3 linked regions of the Caenorhabditis elegans genome follow. The protein of the gene in region 1 purifies or fractionates together with the protein of each later gene. This does not show direct contact. Each region holds a gene or a part of one and is shown in the gene's direction. Other genes may lie near its edges.

Region 1 (7,660 bases):
TGTATGGCAGATGTGGATAACGGTAGGTTGCGAATGTGTACTGTGGTGGATATACATATGTCATTCCTGGACGAAGAAGATATCTTCTTGGAAGCCTATCCCATGGGTAATGCTGGAAGAAATACCCTCTTCTATAGGCGACAACTGGCCTCTTTGTGGTAGTTTGAACGGGATTCTGATTGCGTCCAATCGGATTTGGGTTCAAAAGTGGTGCACGAGTTGGAATATCGAATTTCGGTGCGATTGTTGAGTAGGTTACTTGTTTCAAATTATGGTTGGCACCAGCATTCTTGACCGGTTGAGATGAAAAATCAGAATAATCGTCACCAACATTATCCTGTCTTGCCTAAAAATTATCCATATTCGTAGGTACGAATTGTCCAAAGTAACTCACCTTTCTTTCAGCCAACGTGACCCCACAAATCGCCGCTAGAAAAATAATAGATCTCCTCATCTAGAAGTGTGTAAGATTGTTAAAATCGGTCAATCTCCATCGTCGTTAAATACTCCCAAAATCGGGTTGACTAGAAGTGTAACAAAACCTTCAAATAGCTGGACATCATCTGCCTCAAACAGATCTGGTTCTTGGCATATCGGGTAAAATTATATAAGTTTGTTGCGTAGTGATATACAACAAGGTGAGAAAGTGATGAAGACGACGGACGTCCATGGTTGCGCAATAAGTGAAATTAGAACTGGAAATTTTCGGAGATAAGGAATGTTTTTTTTTGTATATTGCGAATTAGGATATATCATGTTTTGCCTGGGTTAATCAGTAGTATCACTATGAAAATATATGATCTATTGTGTACCTTCTATTAAGAAGATGTTTAAATTTTTTGGTATTAAAATTTTGGTTAAAAAACAATTAAAAATTGGGAGAATTTCAGAAGATTTATGGAAACATATTTAGTTAAATATGGCTATTTTACTAAAATCTAGATTTCGGAACATTCTGCTTTGAGAAATTTAGATGAATTAATACAAATCGAGTCAAGTTCGTCCAGCGAAGAACCTATCTCAAGTCACTATTAAAGTCTGTCAGCCGGTATTTATAGCAAGGAGAAAGTGATGTTGAGTGTAATCCCACTTGTTGTAATCTGACCAATGTGTGTGTCCAACTTGATAAATTGGCCTTCATTGGATATGGAAAAGGAATAATTTTATGAACTAAGTATATTTTGCAAAATTCCATTCAAAAGTAGAAACCGTACTTGATTCGTTAAGAGCAAAACGGAGCATTTACGAATTTAATTCCAAGTAATATGGTGCAGTGTGACCTATTCCTGAAATCAGTCGAATATGAAATATTGCAAAAATTCCTTTTCAATATGTTTCATGTTGTAGCAGTTGTAGAATTTTTATATACCAAAAAATTTAAAGATAATTAAATTTATTATAAACTATTTTAATGTACCTTTAGCCTGTTATAGATTACTAATAATTGTAGAAAAAATCCAATTTCTGTTGTTGCTCCGAAAAAATCACTAATTGTATTTCTATAAATTGGTAAATTATTGTTCGAGAACTCGAAAAGTACATTTTTCTTCATTTTTTATAATATTGTATTATTTTATCGCCTTCTCCGAGTGATTGAAACCCCTATGAAAAGTTGGGAAAGTTGACGTGGCCGCGGTCGATGCCATTGCAAAACTAGGCCATGATAATGCAGGATTTTTAGAACGGTAGAAAATGGGCCTATTTTAAGTTGTTCCCTTTAAAATTTGAACTTTTTTATCGACAATTAAATCTCAATATCGATTTTTTTCCACAAACTTGTTTGCTTTCTAATCACTTATTGATTTTTTTCAAATAGAAACCAAGTAAATTTCATCATTTTGTGTTTTCTGATGTAATCTATTGCTTAAAAGAATTTTTTAAAGGTTTTAATTATTTTTAAATATCAGGGTAACAAATATCGACAATGTCGAAAATCAATAAGGAGCGGAAGAAGGTTGCTCAACTTCAAGAAATTGAAAAGAGCATTCAGGAGCTGTGGGAGAGCAAGAAGGCTTTCGAGGCGGATGCTAGGGATGAGTGAGTTTTTTCTGAAAATTTTGAATTATTTTCAATTTAAAAAATTTCAGTGGAAAACCAAAGTACCTCGTCACGTTTCCCTTCCCATACATGAATGGACGTCTTCATTTGGGACACACATTCTCAGCTTCAAAATGTGAATTTGCCGCCGGTTTCCAACGTCTTCAAGGCAAAGAAGTGCTCTTTCCATTCGGATTTCATTGTACTGGAATGCCAATTAAAGCATGTGCAGATAAATTGAAAAGAGAAATGCAAGATTTCGGATATCCACCAAATTTCCCGGAAGATGTTGTCGAGGAAGTTAAAGAAGAAGTTTCGGCTGTCGATGAGATTATCAAGGATAAGAGTAAAGGAAAGAAGAGTAAATTGGTGGCAAAAACTGGAAATGCAAAATACCAATGGCAAATTATGAAGTCTCTGGGATTGTGTGATGAGGAAATTAAGGAATTCTCGGATCCAAATCATTGGCTATATTATTTCCCACCACATTGCATTGCTGATCTTAAGAAAATGGGACTAAAGGTAAGATTTAAAGTGTTGAAATCATCTTAAAGTGTTGAAAGTGAGTTCTGTAAAAATAGTACTAAATTATTATGTTTTTCCAATATTTTTGATTAAAATTTAGTGATAGAATTTGGAAAAAAAACATTTGATTTATCTGAAAATAGTTTTTATTTTAGTGATTAAAAGTTGAAAATAACCTGTAAAAAAATTTCGATAATTGGTCGGTTTTTACCGGCGATTTTTTTGGCACTTTTCCAATTTTTCAACCTTAATCAAAGCTATTTTCAGATAAATGAAATATTTTTCTATATTATATCCCTGAATTGTATTTAATGAATATTGGAACAAAATGCCTTACTTCCTCATTTTTGCTTCTCCATTTTAATAATAATATAATTCTCAAAAAAATTTAACTTATCACAAAATTAAAAAAGAAACATTTCGAAATTATTAAATTAAAAATTGCCATTTTTCAGGCTGATTGGCGTCGTTCCTTCATCACCACCGACGTGAATCCATACTTCGACTCATTCGTCCGTTGGCAGTTCAACCTTCTTCGTGCAGCTAAGAAGATCGATTTCGGAAAGAGATATACAATTTATTCACCGAAAGACGGTCAACCATGCATGGATCACGATCGTGCCAGTGGAGAAGGTGTTGGTCCACAAGAATATACTCTTATTAAACTGAAAGTTCTTGATCCAAAACCTCAAGCTTTGAGCCATATCAAAGAGGATATTTATCTCGTTGCGGCTACTTTGAGACCTGAAACAATGTACGGACAAACGAATTGTTATCTCCATCCAGATATTCAATATTCCGTGTTTTATGCGACGGAAAACGAGAAACAAGTATTTGTGGCAACTGCCAGATCTGCTAGAATCATGTCATATCAAGGATTGACTAAGGAAAATGGTAAAGTCAACTATGTCCTGGGACTCGAGAAAATCGCTGGAAGCAAGATTCTCGGAGCTCCACTCTCTGCGCCTCTCGCAAAATACGAAAGAGTTTATGCATTGCCAATGTTGACTATCAAGGATGATAAGGGAACTGGTGTTGTTACAAGTGTACCATCAGACTCTCCAGATGATTTTGCAGCTTTGTCGGATCTCAAGAAGAAGAAGCCATTGAGAGAAAAATATGGATTGACTGATGAGATGGTTCTTCCATTCGAACCAGTTCCAATTATTAAAATCGAAGGACTTGGGGATTTGGCTGCAGTTGAAATGTGCTCAAGGCTGAAAATTGAGTCTCAAAATGAGAAGGACAAACTGGAAGAGGCGAAGAAAGAAGTTTATTTGAAAGGATTCTACGATGGAGTTATGCTCGTCGGAAAGTATGCTGGAAAGAAGACAGCCGACGTCAAGAAAGTTATTCAAGATGATTTGACAGCTGAAGGTCTTGCCACGAAATATGTGGAGCCTGAGAAGAAGGTGATGAGCAGATCTGGAGATGAGTGCGTCGTTGCGTTGTGTGATCAATGGTATTTGAATTATGGAGAGGCTGAATGGAAGGCTGCTGCAAAGAAGGTTCTTGAGCCACTCAGAACTTTCAATGATGAGGTATATTTTTTTAAATTATTTTTGAAAAAATATTATGTAGACGTCTAAAAATAAGAATCTTCGCCATCTCTTACGCGCAGAGGTCTTGCCACGCAGACAACGAGTTACTGTAACTTGCCGATCAAAGGGTTTTTTATTGCAGCATATTCTCTAAATAAAACCACAATTTTATCTAAAAATCGAAAAAATTTGTTCAAAGAATATCATAGTTTACAAATTACTCCAACTCTACGGACGATTTTTTTAAAACCCTTTTTGTTGAAATTGGAGTTTAATTTAAAGAATATGACGCAATAACGGCCCATTAGACAACAGAAGTTACAGTAATTCGTTGCCTGCGTCCTCTGCGCGTAAGATATGTCGAAAATTCTCATTTTTAGATGTCTATGTAGTATATTCTTATTCCGCTGAATTAAAATTTTCAGACCCGCCGTGGATTGGAAACCACAGTCGATTGGCTCCACGAGTATGCTTGCTCCAGAAGTTACGGTCTTGGAACCAAACTTCCATGGGATACTCAATACCTCATCGAATCTCTGTCAGACTCTACAATCTACAATGCTTATTATACAGTTGCTCATCTTCTCCAACAGGGAGCTTTTGATGGATCAGTCGTCGGACCTGCTGGAATTAAAGCTGATCAGATGACAGATGCTTCGTGGAGTTATGTATTCCTCGGAGAAATTTACGATTCGAAAACCATGCCGGTTGAGGAGGAAAAGCTTAAATCATTGAGGAAAGAATTCATGTATTGGTATCCAATTGATATGAGAGCATCTGGAAAAGATCTTATCGGAAATCATTTGACATATCTTCTGTTCAATCATGCTGCAATCTGGCCAACAGACACTTCAAAATGGCCAAAAGGAATTCGGGCCAATGGACATTTGCTCTTGAACAATGAGAAAATGTCGAAATCCACTGGAAACTTTATGACATTGGAAGAAGCCATCGAAAAGTTCAGCGCAGATGGTATGAGATTGAGTCTTGCCGATGCTGGGGATGGTTTGGAAGATGCTAACTTTGTGTACGCAATGGCAGATGCAGCTATTCTGAGACTATTCACTATGATCGAATGGATCAAGGAAATGATTGAACAACGGGATGCCGGACTTCTCCGAAAAGATGCAAAGAAATTCGCTGATCGAGTTTTTGCAAATGAAATGAATTCACTGATCGCTGCCACAGAACAAAATTATGAAGCTACCAACTTCAAGGATGCACTGAAAACTGGATTCTTCGAATATCAAGCCATTAGAGATACATACAGAGAACTTTGCGCTGGAATTGATGAGCCAATGAGCGAATCGCTTGTCTTTAGATTCATTGAAACTCAGGTATATTTTCAGAAAGATTTTTTTCTCAAGATGACAGATACCGATTATTAGTGTAAAAATTGAAAGAATTGTTTCAAATTCTGCAACAAAAATTCTAGAAAAACGAGAAAAAAAACAAATCAGTATTGCCGTATATTAAAAAAGTTTAGGAAATTTCTATAAATTTCTTAAAATCTATTTTCGTTCGATTAAGACTGATTTCTGTCATTTGGGGCAAAAAAAAAACGCCAGACGACACCTTTAAAAGTTTAATTTGTTTTTTATTTTAGATGCTCATCCTATCACCAATCTGCCCACATATTGCTGAATACATCTGGCAATTGCTCGGAAAAGACGGCTTGATTGTAAATGCTCCATGGCCAACTGTCGATCCTGTCGATGAGAAGCTCGCCATTGGTGCTCGTTTCATCACGGAATCGCTGGCCGAATTCCGTGCCCGACTGAAAACCTACATGACTCCAAAGAAGAAGGCACTGAAGGAGATTCCAGAAGTTCCAACTGAAGCAGTGATCTATGTTGCTAAAGAATATCCACCATGGCAGAAGACTATTCTTGATATTCTTGAGAAACAAGCCAAGGCTAATAATGGAGCACTTCCAGATAATAAAGCAATCAGTCAGCTCATTGGAAAAGAAGAATCACTCAAGAAATTCGCCAAAAAAGCGATGCCATTCGTTCAAATGATCAAGGAAAGATTCGAACAGAAGGGTGTTTCAGCATTGGCTTCTTCTAGTCCAGTTGATCAAACTTCAATTCTCAACGAGAATATTGATTTTATTATGAACGCTTTGGATTTGGATCGTGTTACTATTCGACATACTGATGAGGAGGGAATTGATGCGAATATTGTTGAGACTACAGTACCGCTGGTGCCAATGTTGAATTTCACGCCGAATAGAGTAAGGAAACATATTATAGGGGCATGGGAACATGCTCCGCCTTCTAACCATGGGTCTCGTTAGGTATTTGGCGGCAAAACCGTAAATTCAAACATTTTAAATTCGTCTCTGCAGTTTTCAAGCACGCCAAATACCTTACGAGACCCAACTGTAGGAGGCGGGGCGTTGTCAATCGGCAGTGGAGCGCATTTCCATATCAATTTCAAGAGGGGAATTTTTCTGCGTACCAATAATAATGACATCATAATTATTTTCAGCCAACAATCAAACTTGTCGCCAGAAATGTTCAAATCTGCAATGCAATGTTCGATGTTGATGTACCAATTGTTAATGGAGACAGTGTTTCAATGGTTATTCGGAAGATGAGACGCATCAGCAAGGCAATCAAACGTATGAGAAAACCCTATTCCGAAAACAATAAATTCAATTTATTATATTTTCAGCGAAATTCGAAGTGAGCCTCTGGAGATACAAGAACGCGGTTTGGGGAGATCGACAGATGATTTCGTACAGAAATCCATTCGAGGAGAACATTCAATTGTCCGACGCAGACATTTTCAATTTCGAGGCTGATAACAAGATTTCTGTGACTTCTGGAAGTGAAAAGTTCGATCTTGGGCGTACTATTGTGTACAAGGCTAACGTCCCAGAAAACTAGATTCTTTCTAAAAAATTATTTGTTCTTCTTGTTTCTAATAATATTATATCCCCACTTTTTGAGTTTTGTTGTTTCTATTCATTTTCATAATTTATACGTACCCGAATCCCTATTTCAGCTTTCACTGTTTTCTCCCTGTTTCCAAGTTGAATGAAAAGGTTTTTTTGTTATTATACTAGATTTTTGAAAACTGTGATTTGTTATCTAAGTATTTCAAACCTAATATTTTAAATGTGATTTTCTATTTTTTATCGGAAGTTTCCGTATTTCCAGTAACAGATGCCGTCACCATGTGAAAGCGGTAAAACGACAAATTGCTCCGGAGCACCTTCCTCGTCTTGTGGTGAATATTTTGATTATTACTCATTCGGGAAAATATGGGATTTTTATCGCAAAATTATGGTATCGGGTCTCGACACGATCGAATTACTTCCAAATGAAAAGTGGGTAACACATTGTTTTCTCGAGATTTTAAAGTCTACTAATTATTATTCATGTGACATCAAAATCTGGAAGGAGTGAGGCTACAGTACCTCATTTGAAAATATTTCGATCGTGTACAAACAAAAACAAAAATAAATTACTATACTTTTGCGTTAAAAAACTAAATTTTTCGAAGAAAATATCTGGAATAAAATATAACGAACAAAAATCTTTTCAGCG
Region 2 (3,750 bases), on another chromosome or scaffold:
TCCTTGCCCTACAGTAACTCCCGCCCTATGTCCCTTCAAACTTGCCCCATCCCTGAAAAAATTCTCGTCAAAAAAGTTGTTGTTCCCCGTATACACATTGATTTCTGGTCAAAATAATTGTAATTTAATACACATATAAATCATATATTATCGGTTATATTAATTTTTCAAAAAAAAATTTTGGGTCTCGTCACGAAATTTTCGAAAGAAAAGAAGTTTCTTCGAAAATAGTCATGATTATACTTATTCAAACCGGCTTGCCACGCTGATTTCAAAAATATAAGTTTCATGGGTCTCGCAGCGAAATTGGCTGGGTTACTGTAGATTTAAAGGCTAAATTTAGGCCAAAGTCGTTCAATTTTCGTTCAAATTTTAAAAATTTTAAAACCTATGCTTGAGTAAACTCATTCAAACTGGCTTGACACGCTGATTTCAAAAATATGTCTTTCTTGGGTCTCACAGCGAAATTTATCGGGTTACTGTAGACTTTAGAGCCGATTTCAGGCCAAATCATGACGATTTAGGCCCAAAATATAGAATTTTTGAAACCCAGGCATGATTATACTTCTTCGAACCTTCTCGTCGTGAATATTGCGGCAAAAAGATTGTAAAACTGAAAAAAAAAATCGTTTTTTCAACAAAAAACAAGGAAGATCGACACAAAAACTAGCTAGAAATAGGGGGAAATAGGAAATTTACACAAAAATCAATCGATATAAATTAGATGAGATTATGATTCCATCGATATTTTCCGGTGACACATTGCGGTGCTCGCAGGAGTCCCGTGCACGGATGTTGGCCTTGAACTTCGCACATACACTGAAAAAATGAACGATTTTTTGCCGATTTTTCGCGCAATTTTCAGACCTGTCGCTCATTTTTGGATCCGAAATCGGCGGGATTAAGCTTGGCAATACTCTCCAAATGCTCTCTTCGCTCCACTAATTCCGTTTTTCCTAGCGTTTTCGCCAATAATTTCTCGATTTCCTCGCGCTTCATGCCGTCCAAGTCGAATAGCACTTCCCGGCCGTCGTCTGAAACATTTTTTAGTAGAATTTTGTGGATTTTCAGCTTGAAACTTACTCAGATATGCTCTGGCAAAGGGCGTCACAACTTTATCGGCATGCTTAACGAGCTGAACTTTTGGATTGTGATATTGAAGCTGCGCCCAGTTCCAGTAGACGAAATCTCGTGCTCCAGACTGCTCGGGCGTCGGATTTTTATGAAAACCCATCGAGAACACGTTGACGTTGTCGCGAAGCTTCACTTTTCCCTGCTGGAGATAGAAGAATGTCCGCCGAAGCGGCATGGACCCGTGCATGAACGGCATTTCTGGTTTTGAGCTGAAAAAGGAAGGAATTTCGTGGGAAAACGCTGAATATGAGATTACGATAAATTTATGCAAAAGATAGAATTAAAAAACCACTGGAAAAAGCTAAAAAATCGCTTGAAAATGAGAAAAAAAATATATAATTAAAATAAATAATTTTCCTCCCAACGACACTCCGATATCACGTTGTGCGCCTTCTTTATCGTAAATCCACATTTGCTTTTATTTCTGATTTTTGGGTTTTTTAGCTGTTTTCAAGCTATTTTATATCAAAATTCAGTAAAAACCGGTAATTTTTCGTCTATTTCCCGCAAAAATTACATAAATCATGTAAAAATGCTGATTTTATACCAAAAATTCACTAAAAATAAATAACACGCACTTGTTAATTCGGAGCATCGTTGTTTTAAACTCTAAATTTTTTTTCCAGAAATTTGATGGTTTTCCCAGTTTTTCAAGCATATTTCATGTTTTTTGGTGCCTTTAACGCTTCTGAAAAATTTTAGATTCTCGAAATTCCATCTTACAATCTCTCGATTGCTCTGAAAATCTCAAAAATCTCAAGATTTCGTATAAAATAGGATTTTCCAGGGTAAATCACGCGATGCCAATGTACAAGCTGACACCGACGTTCCCACCGAATTTTGAGGTTCATCCGAAAATCGCCTGCTATCCAGTAGGTTCGTATCATAATCCATCTTTCGGAGGAGTCGGGCCTTCTGATGCGGTGCAGGTAATAGACGGATTTTGGCTCAAAAAAAACTGAAATTTCAGGTAGAATCCGATCCGCGCAAGGCTTTGGAGCACAAACAGCTCTCACTGATCGAGCAGCTCAAAGCACAGACCGAAGAGCTCAAGAAGTTGCTGGTAAGCCTTGGAGAGGCTGGAAAAGCAGAGAGATCTGCTCAAAAACCTGCGGAAAAAGCGCCAAAAGAGCCTGAGAAATCCGCTGGAGCAGCCTCTTCAGCTCCCGGAGTCCCCGGAGCCCCCGCAAAACTAGACAAGGACGCCAAGAAGGAGGCTCGCAAGGCTGCCAAGGCAGAAGCCGTAAAGAAATTGGCTTCCGGAGAGGCTCCACCACAGAAATCCGCGAAAAAGACCGTAAATTCGACTCCATGGACCGTCCAGGACGACCGAAAGACGTGGGAGACCAATCTGACTCTCACCGTGAATCTCCCAACCTCCCTTGTGGCCTACGAGCCGCAGGAGCAGCTGAAAAACGCCACGCTGACAGTGCGGGACGTGGATTTGCCGTGGGCTCGGGCTCTCGCAAAGGTCGGCGCAAGCCGTGGAGTCTCGTTTGAGGGAGAAGTCAAAAATCAGACGAAAGAGAAGAAATCCAGTCTGAAAGTTGTGAAAGGTGCGGGATTTTTTCTCTAAAAATCAGAATTTTATGATATACCCTTAATTTTCAATATTTTCAGGCCCTGCTCCCTCCCTGCAATTGGAAAAAACTACCGTCAAATCCCTTCAAACTATCTGGAAGCTGTTGGGCTCTTCACTCGGGCTCTTCTCTAGACGGCCACAACAAGTGCTCAGCGCCAGTCATCAAGCGATTTGGCTGGGAAAAGTAGGAAATTTTAGAAACTTTCCCAAAAAAATCAAATTTTCTTTCAGGCCGAGCAAATCCTTGCCGGCTCCTGTGATCAGAGCTTTGTCACACGTGAAGCTTCTCAGTTCCTGGCTCGTTTCGACTCGTTAAGCTCTCAATGGGAGGTGTGTGTCGCTGATATTGTGTTCAGAAGCCTTCTGAACCTTGGGGAGCACCTTCCGAACAATGTGGAGTTGTGGGCTAAGAAGATTGACGCTTTGATTGTTTAGATTTGATTTATTGATGTTTTTATTTGATTTTCTCGGTTTAAATGAATTATTTTGCATTTTTATCTGATTTTTTCGTTTAAGAAACAAATTTTTTGCTTTAAAAATTCAGTTTACAATTACAACGATACTCCAAAATCCCGCAGCGCGCCCTGTTTACCGTAAATCTACACCATAGAATTTCAATTTAAATTCTGTCTTTCTTTGTTTTTTTCGCGATTTTCACCGATTTCCGCAGATTTTTTGCACTTTTCTCATCATTTTTCATCGAAAACTCAACATTTTCATCCAGGAACCAGTATGAGCGACGCTAAAAAAAAGGCCGCCGCCGAGCTAGCCGCGAAAAACCTCGCACAACTCCAGAAAATCGACATCGCCGCCAGCAAGATTCTCGACAAGGTTTAACATAGAGAATTGTGGATTTTAAAGCTAAAAATTGGTTTTGTAGATGCCATTTGCCGCGATTTATCATATCGATGCGGCGAGAAAAGAGTGGAATCAGTCGAATTGCGAAGGAACATTTTTCGTCTATCAGAGAGCTGATCGGCCATATTTTAGGTGAGAAGAAGCAAGAAAACATGCAAAAATAGCTAAAATAATCA
Region 3 (7,989 bases), 6.2 Mb from region 1:
CGACGGACTTGCTGTCGTTAAAATGACATTTTGTAAGAGTTTAACCGAATTTTCGCTTGAAAGTTCCCATTTTTCAGTAAAAAACATGCAAGAAATCAGTACTGCGCCACGCTACGAACCAGAGATGGTCTATCAGCATTTCGGAGATGAGGAGACAATCTTCGGCTACGAAGATCTCGAGGTTACCATCCATCACACAGCTCAAACCCTCTACAGCTACATAAACGTGAGCTATTCCTCAAAAGCGAAAAACGAAAACGGACTGGAGGCCGATGACGTCATTGATAAGCTGGTTCATCCAGACGTTCGTCCGAATGTTCTGGTTTCGGGAAAAGAAGAATTCCAGCAGAAGCTCATCAAACAGAAGGATTTCAAGCCTTTCGGTGAGATGGTACACAAGTTTGAGCTGAAAGGAAAGAGCTACGAGGTCTACAAAGTCGCCGAGCAAACCGAAGAGTTCAACCTTTTCCTAGAAAGAATCCAGACTCTCGGCATGTTGTGAGTGCTTAAAAAATAAGGATTTTCCTACAAAATTTTTTTTTCAGCTTCATCGAGTGCTGCTCACTGACAGATAACACTGAAGACAATTGGCTTCACTATTTTATGTAAGTTGAGAAGATTTCGCGGCGAATTCCAGAAATTACAAAAAATCGAACGCATTTCAAATATTTTTCAATTTTCCAGCTACGAACGCTGCGACACCGGTGAAGGAGATGGAAGTACTGTGGCCAACGTGGCTGGCTACGCGACACTCTTCAAATTCTACAACTACATTGACAGGATCCGTCCACGAATTGCACAGATGCTATTGCTCCCTCAATACAGAAAATCTGGAATTGGAGCCAGTTTCATGGAATCTTTCCTGCGAGATCTTCGTGCCTCTCCAGAAGTTTTCGACGTAACCGTCGAGTCTCCCGGAGATCAGTTCGTCAGCCTCCGTGACTATGTGGATTGTGTCAACTGCATGACACTGCGGGAATTTGCACCGGAGAATCTCAAGAGGGGATACTCGGACAAAATGCGTCAGGCCGCACTGGAAAAGCTCAAGATTTCCAGACAACAAGCCCGTCGAGTCTATGAAATTTTGCGTTATCGTGCTACAAATAAGAAGGATAAAGAAGAGCTGAAAGCGCAGAGAATCGATGTGAAACGTCGGTTGTATGCACCAATGAAGAAATCGGATCAGGACTGGAAGCGTCTGAATCTCGCGTTGACACCCGATGAGCTTCGACAAGCGGCCTGTGGACAAATGGATGAGGAAACCAAGTTCTCGACGCTCTCACAGAATTATGATCGGCTTATGGAGGCCTATCAAAAAACTATTGATCGAATTGAGCAGCATCCAAGCATTTTTTAATCGTTGTATCTGTATCTTATTTTAATTTGAAATTACATGTGGGATTTTTGTATTTTTTTTAAAGCTAATTACCACGAAATTCGTCTAAATTTGCTGTAAATTTGCAAAATTCCCTTGCCGTTATTACCCATACGCGAAATTTTGCGCCAAAAGTACGGTATCCGGTCTCGAAGAGAAAAATGTATGATAAATGCGAAAAAGTGTGCGCCTTTAACGATTTTTATCAGGTTTTCATAGTTTTTCCCAGCATTTGTTAAAGTTTTTTTGGGTTTTGATTGTGATCTACGAAAAATCGACGAAAATCCGCAATAGCAAAAGTTTGAAGCTACAGTACTCTTTAAAGGCGCACAAATTTTCGCGTTTAACAAACATGTTTCGTTGCGAGACCAGGCACCGTATTTTTGGCGTGAAAATCGCTTTGGGTCCTATTTGACTTATTGTGAATGTTTCATGAATTTTTCCGCTCTCTAAACTCTCAGCTAAAAATCGAATTCCCAGTTGAAAATCCCGAATATATTTTTATCTTCTTATATATTATTCTTCAATTACAAAAAAAAAACTCACCGAAATAAATGATCTCTCACTCTATCCCAGCAGAATGGACGAATTCTCATTTCCATTTCAACCATACGACATTCAACTCAATTTGATGCGAGAAATCCGCCAATGCATTGAACAACGGAAAATTGGCATTTTCGAATCTCCAACAGGCACCGGAAAGTCGCTCAGCGTGTTGTGCTCGACGATGACGTGGCTGGAAGCTGAAGAACTACGAATTTCGACTGATTTGAGCACACGGCTCGGGGAGGTTCACACGAAAATCACGGAATGCGATAAAATCACCACCGCCGACAATTGGGAGACGGCAGTTCGTGAGAAAATGCGAGCTCAAGACGTAGAGACGGAGATTTTGGAGCAAATTCAGAGTCGGGAAAGGTGTTGGAAATTGAATAATTATTCTTTTTTAATTTTTTTTTAAATGAAAAAAATCATTCAGATTGCAGTCACGAATCGATCAAGCCCGGCGAGGAATGGTCGAGGTCTCCAGAAAGAGAAAAGCCCCGGCCAGGGATACGGATCAGTTTCTCGAACCTCAAGATGTAATAATTGAACTTTTATCCGGAAATTCACATGTGGCTGACCGTTTTTTCGGAAAATTTCAAGATTTCTGACTAGAACCTGGCTTTTTTTTTCTGGAAAAACCTTGAAATACGCAAAAATTCCAAATTTTTAAATACAAACCTTCAGTATTGCTAATTTTTTGAGAAATGTGAAAAAATGTTAACAGTATTATATAGCAAGATAGATATAGAATAGATTCCACAATATGAATAGATACACAATAGAATAGTTACATAGTAATACATAGAATAGACACTTGATGCCTCACTTTAAAGGCGCACGCTGTTTTCTGAGTGGGTCTCGCCACGATCCCAGCCACAGTAGTCGCTACAAATTTGAAGTTTCATAAATTGAATATGCCAGGTTTTCAAGAAAATGTTATTCTAGAAGTTTCTATTATAGAAATAATACAGAAATATCAAAATTCAAAATAAAATTTCCAGGAAGCCGCCCCATCGGAAGAATACAATAACGACGAGAAAAGTGAGAAACAGCGGGATTCCGATTTTTTCGATGATGTCGATGAAGAAGAGGAGAAGCCACTGAAATGTCTGAAAGTACAGAATTTATTTCAATATTTCGGAAAGTGCAATCGCGCTCCATAGCCAAATGAAAGTGCAATTCAAACTTTTTCAAGCATTTTTGTGACAGTAACTGTATATCATTAAAAATTGGAAAATCTTGGGTTTTACCGCCAATACCTAACGAGACCCATGTTTCGGGGGCAGAGCGTTTTTATTTTTTATTTGGCTATGGAGCGCGATTGCACTTTCATCTCAAAAGTCGCATATAGCTGTCATATTATTACAGGAACAAAAAATTCTTAGAATGCGTATTGGGCAACATATTTGACGCGCAAAATATTCCGACGCGAAAACTACAGTAATCCTTTGGATGACTACTGTAGCGCTTGTGTCGATTTACGGGCAATATTTTTGAAATTAATTTCTTTTCAAAAAGTTACAACGGCTCTCAATTTTCTTTAATTTTTCGTTTTTAAAAATCAATAAATAAAAGGTTTTTGTAAATCGACACAGGAGCTACAACAGCAATTTAGAGGATTACTGTAGTTTTCGCTTTGAGATATTTTGCGCGTCAAATATGTTGCCCAATACGCATTCTCAGAGTTTCGTGTTACCGTAATACGTCTTTTTTTTTTTTAATGAAAGTTGTCTGAAAAAAATAATCGAAATTAAGTCGGAGAATTTTCAATTTACCGAACAAATTTTTTTAAATGAAAATTTGGTTTTTTTGTAAATTTTCAAAACTGCATTAAAATTTTTTTAATTGAAAACTGAAAAATCAATAATTTTTTATTCAAACTGTCTTGAAATTTTCTGAATTTTCCAGATTTTCTACGCATCACGAACACATTCTCAATTGGAGCAACTTGCCGAGGAGCTCGCAAAAACTAGATTTCAACCCAGAATAGTTACATGTGCCTCACGAGGAACATTATGTGTAAATGAAGAAGTCAAAAAGTTGAAATTAAATCATTTAATCAATGAAAAATGTATGGAATTGCGAAAAAACGGAATGTCGGAAAAGGAAAAAGTTCAGAAATTGGAGAAAGGAACCACGAAAAAGACAAAAACCTGTGCGACTTCATGCGAATTCTACAATTCCACACAAATCGAAGATGTAGTGAATGGAGTCCTCTCGAACAAATTGAAAAGTACACTTGAAGTGTCAAAACAGGGAAAACTTTCCAATGGATGCCCATATTTTGCTACAAGAAAATCTGTTCCACAGTGTCAACTTGTTCTTCTTCCATATCAAGTTTTGCTTCATGATGGAACACGAAAAGCATGGGGAATTGAATTAAAGGATAATGTTATTGTACTCGACGAGGCACATAATGTGTTGAATACTATTAGTTCGTTTTTTTTTCGGAAATTGGAAAAAGTTTCGAAAAATGGCTTCAAAAATTGTTAGAATAATTTTTTTCAAATTTAAAAATAATCAAAATTTAATTTTTTTCAATTTTCTTCCAAAAATTTTTTCTTCATATTTTTTAATTATATGTTTACAAAAATCACAGTTTTTCATTTAATGTTTTTTGTTCAAAAAATTTCAAAAAAATTCAAAAAACTCTACTTTTCAACTAAAAATAAATGTTTTTCATTAATTTTTTAAATGAATTAAATCTTTTTCAAATTTAACTTTTTTTACAGAACTCGACTTGAAAAACGTTTTTTTTTTCAAAAAAAATTTCAAAAACATTGAAATAAAATCCTTATTTATTCCAAAAAACGAATAATTTCAATTTTTAGTTTTTAAAAATACGGAAATCACTATTTTTCTTTTTTTTTTCAAAAAAAAAAAAACGAAAAAAAAATCTGCTTTTCAATAAAAAAAAATTTTATTTCAAAAAAGCACATTTTTCAATTTAAAAAATTCAAAAAATCACAATTTTCAAAATATTTTTTTTTCAGAAAATCGCTAATTTTATTCAAAAAATTTTCAAAAAAAAAACAATTTTTCAATATACAAAAATTTCTAAAAATCACTGAAAAAACTATTTTCCAATTTAAAAAATCGTTATTTTTCAATTAAATTGTTTCCTAAATAATTCCCTGAAAATCACTTTAAAAAAATTTCCAAACCTTTTTTTTAAAAAAAAAACCTCCCGGAAATTTCCAATTTTAAAGGAATTTTTTTCAGGTTCCCTCTACTCTGCTGAAATTTCCACGAAATCCCTAACCCTCGCACTGCGTCTAATTCGAGAATACAATGCTCACTACAAGCTGAAGCTTCTGGCTCATAACCTACTTTACATGAAACAACTGGAATCACTCACCAGCAAAATGCTCATTTTCTTAAATAGCCAATCAAAAGAAGATGTGATGACGATGGCTCAGTTGGCACGAAATTTGAATATTCTAGAAATTAATCTGTTCAAATTGGCCGAATATATGGAGAAGACGGATTTGTGCAAGAAATTTCATGGATTTTACATGAGATTACAGAAAGAAGTAATTAATTCCAAAAATCGAAAAATTCACTTTAAAAAATTAAGAAAAATACCTCAGAAACAGAAACAAATTTTCAAAAAAAATTAAAACGTATCATAAATTCAAACTGAAATTTTCATTTTTTACGAAAAATATCAATTTTTTCATAAAAATTTGAATTACCTATCATTTTTTTAAAGTATTACAATAATTTTTTTCTAAAAAGTATTCAAAAAAAGCCATTAAAATTGAAAATGAAGATCCAGGAAAAATTGATTTACCGTGAAAATTCCGAAGCCTAAAACCTAGAATCCAATAACTTTTCCAGGAAATCAAGAAAGAAAATGAGAAGCCAAAACTAACCGGAATCCAGAAACTCATGGCTGCAAAAGAAGCGGAGCCTGAGCCAGAAGCTGAGCCTCTTCCACCGCCAAAACCCGTTCCTTCTCCACTTTTTTCGCTGAAATCGTTCATCGACGCATTAACCAACAAATGCGAAGATGGCCGAATTATTGTGGAAAAGTCGGCCACCGAAGCAAAGTATGATAGCAACGATTTTTGAACGTGACCGTGAAAAACAAATCGGTGGCCGAGTTTTGGGTTTTGCTTTTTTTTTTTGAAAATCGACTTCCCCGCAAAAGTGTGCTGATATTTATTGAGACTATTTTTCTCACATTGGAAAAATCGGTCATCAATAGTTTTTCTCATAAAAAACTAGGCAAGCATATTTATGTTGAGTAAACTTCGGCCACCAATTTTTTCAGAATAGGAAAAGTTCGGCCACTGACTCCGTTACCAAAATGTGAAAACTAGGCCACTAGTTTTATTCGGGCAGAACTCGGCCACTGCTTTTTAATACTGAAAGTTCGGCCAGCTAATTTTATTTGAGTAAAATTCGGCCACCGATTTTTTTTTCCAGAAAATCCGAAAACTTTTCAACTTCCAGATTCCGATTCATGCTCCTAAATCCGGCGGATCGTCTTTCCGAAGTGGTCACTTCCGCCCGAGCCACAATCCTCGTCGGTGGCACAATGGAGCCAGCTCAGCTTCTCGTGGAGACCCTATCCCGTGGATCGATCGGCGCCGACTCAATCCGTCGTTTTTCGTGTTGCCACGTCATTGATGATTCCCAGCTGCTCGCGGTAACCGTAGAACGAACTGTCGACGGAAAACCATTCCAACTCACATATCAGACACGTGGCGCCGATACCACGTTGAGATCGTTGGCCACGTCAATTCAGGCCCTGATTCCGCATATTCCGAATGGAGTTGTGATCTTTGTGCCGTCATACGACTTTTTGTTCAATTTCCAGAAAAAGATGAAGGAATTTGGGATTTTGAAGCGGATCGAGGTAGTTTTCGTTTCGAGACCCTTCCTGGGATTTTACCGTAGAATAATATATTTTTGTTAAAACGAAAATAAGAAAAAATTCAAATTTTGCATCAAATCTCAATAAATATCCAAAAAGTACGCTAGAGCACATTTGCATTGTCTTTGTTTTTTTTCAGGAAAAGAAGGCCGTATTCACAGAAAGCCGGCAACCAACATCAGACGTCTGGGACCGATTCAGCCGAGCTGCAAAAACATCGAAAGGAGCCATTCTATTTGCTGTCGTCGGCGGTAAAATGAGCGAGGGAATAAATTTTTGTGATGAGCTCGGACGGGCGGTCATTGTTATCGGATTACCGTATCCGAATAAGACCAGCGTCGAGTTGAGGGAACGGATGAAGGTAATAGTGATGGACTCTAAAAATATGGAAAAGCAGATTTAGCGTAATTTTTCTAAAATGGAAATCCTAGACCAATTTACAGGAATCCTTGGTCAGCGAATTTTAGACCACCAGTTGATTTTTAAATTCTAGGCCACCATATCACTATAATTTTAGGCCACCCATTACTATATATCGAGGCCACCCACTAGATTAAGAAATTCTAGACCACCCCATTACAGAATTTCTAGGCCACCATATCACTATAACTCTAGGCCACTACTTCACTCAAATCATAGGCCATCAAATGACTACAGTTCTAGACCACGAAATCAGAATCTAGGCCATCACGTGAATCAAATTCTAGGCCACCTATTGAGCTAAATCCTTGGAAATTGTAGGCCACACTTTACTCGGATCCTAGGCCACCACGCAAGAACACAAAAGGGCCACCCTCCCCCCAATAACTCAAAATTTCAAAATGTTTTTTTCAGTTCCTCGACACTCAAATGCCGAACGGTGGAAACCTGCTCTACGAATCTCTATGCATGCACGCCGTGAATCAAGCCATCGGTCGAGCAATCCGTCACCGCCGAGACTACGCGGCCGTCTATCTCTTCGACGACCGCTACGCAAAGGAGTCCACTCGGAGAAAGTTGTCCACGTGGATTGGAGATCGCACTCAAGTCAAGTTGGGATTTGGCGAGATTATTCGAAAGACGAGGAGCTTTTTTGAAGCGAATTCTAAGAAATAATTAGAATATTTTTTCTTCATTTTTTTGGTGTTTTTTATTTTGCCCGGTTGCTCTAAAGATTCCTCATTCCTTGTGTGTGTGACATTCCCTC

The links. The genes of interacting proteins can lie anywhere in the genome.
Region 2: the proteins of lars-1 (region 1) and Y55F3AM.13 fractionate together in Caenorhabditis elegans (co-fractionation; one large-scale study listed by BioGRID). This does not show direct contact.
Region 3: the proteins of lars-1 (region 1) and chl-1 fractionate together in Caenorhabditis elegans (co-fractionation; one large-scale study listed by BioGRID). This does not show direct contact.

Annotation. Positions count from the first base shown.
Region 1 is NC_003281.10:4,181,049-4,188,708, reverse strand, and holds lars-1 (Leucine--tRNA ligase), read left to right. Parts: upstream 1-1,907; 5' UTR 1,908-1,924; coding exon 1,925-2,037; intron 2,038-2,087; coding exon 2,088-2,559; intron 2,560-3,017; coding exon 3,018-4,103; intron 4,104-4,528; coding exon 4,529-5,440; intron 5,441-5,709; coding exon 5,710-6,339; intron 6,340-6,596; coding exon 6,597-6,729; intron 6,730-6,782; coding exon 6,783-6,997; 3' UTR 6,998-7,160; downstream 7,161-7,660. Other genes in the region: R74.2 (FIP (Fungus-Induced Protein) Related), read right to left, coding at 1-346, 395-454; putative mitochondrial carrier C16C10.1, read left to right, coding at 7,277-7,340, 7,659-7,660.
Region 2 is NC_003282.8:1,054,485-1,058,234, reverse strand, and holds Y55F3AM.13 (FH2 domain-containing protein), read left to right. Parts: upstream 1-1,921; 5' UTR 1,922-1,934; coding exon 1,935-2,063; intron 2,064-2,104; coding exon 2,105-2,690; intron 2,691-2,754; coding exon 2,755-2,900; intron 2,901-2,947; coding exon 2,948-3,151; 3' UTR 3,152-3,212; downstream 3,213-3,750. Other genes in the region: mrps-25 (Small ribosomal subunit protein mS25), read right to left, coding at 721-819, 868-1,034, 1,084-1,330; dcap-1 (mRNA-decapping enzyme 1), read left to right, coding at 3,449-3,547, 3,597-3,706.
Region 3 is NC_003281.10:10,399,203-10,407,191, reverse strand, and holds the start of chl-1 (ATP-dependent DNA helicase chl-1), read left to right. Parts: upstream 1-1,951; 5' UTR 1,952-1,955; coding exon 1,956-2,293; intron 2,294-2,354; coding exon 2,355-2,457; intron 2,458-2,922; coding exon 2,923-3,036; intron 3,037-3,829; coding exon 3,830-4,355; intron 4,356-5,143; coding exon 5,144-5,454; intron 5,455-5,761; coding exon 5,762-5,973; intron 5,974-6,379; coding exon 6,380-6,785; intron 6,786-6,942; coding exon 6,943-7,164; intron 7,165-7,637; coding exon 7,638-7,898; 3' UTR 7,899-7,989. Other genes in the region: hat-1 (Histone acetyltransferase type B catalytic subunit), read left to right, coding at 1-32, 78-498, 546-605, 685-1,357. UniProt on the Caenorhabditis elegans protein: Required for normal cell proliferation and chromosome stability. Plays a role in DNA repair during replication.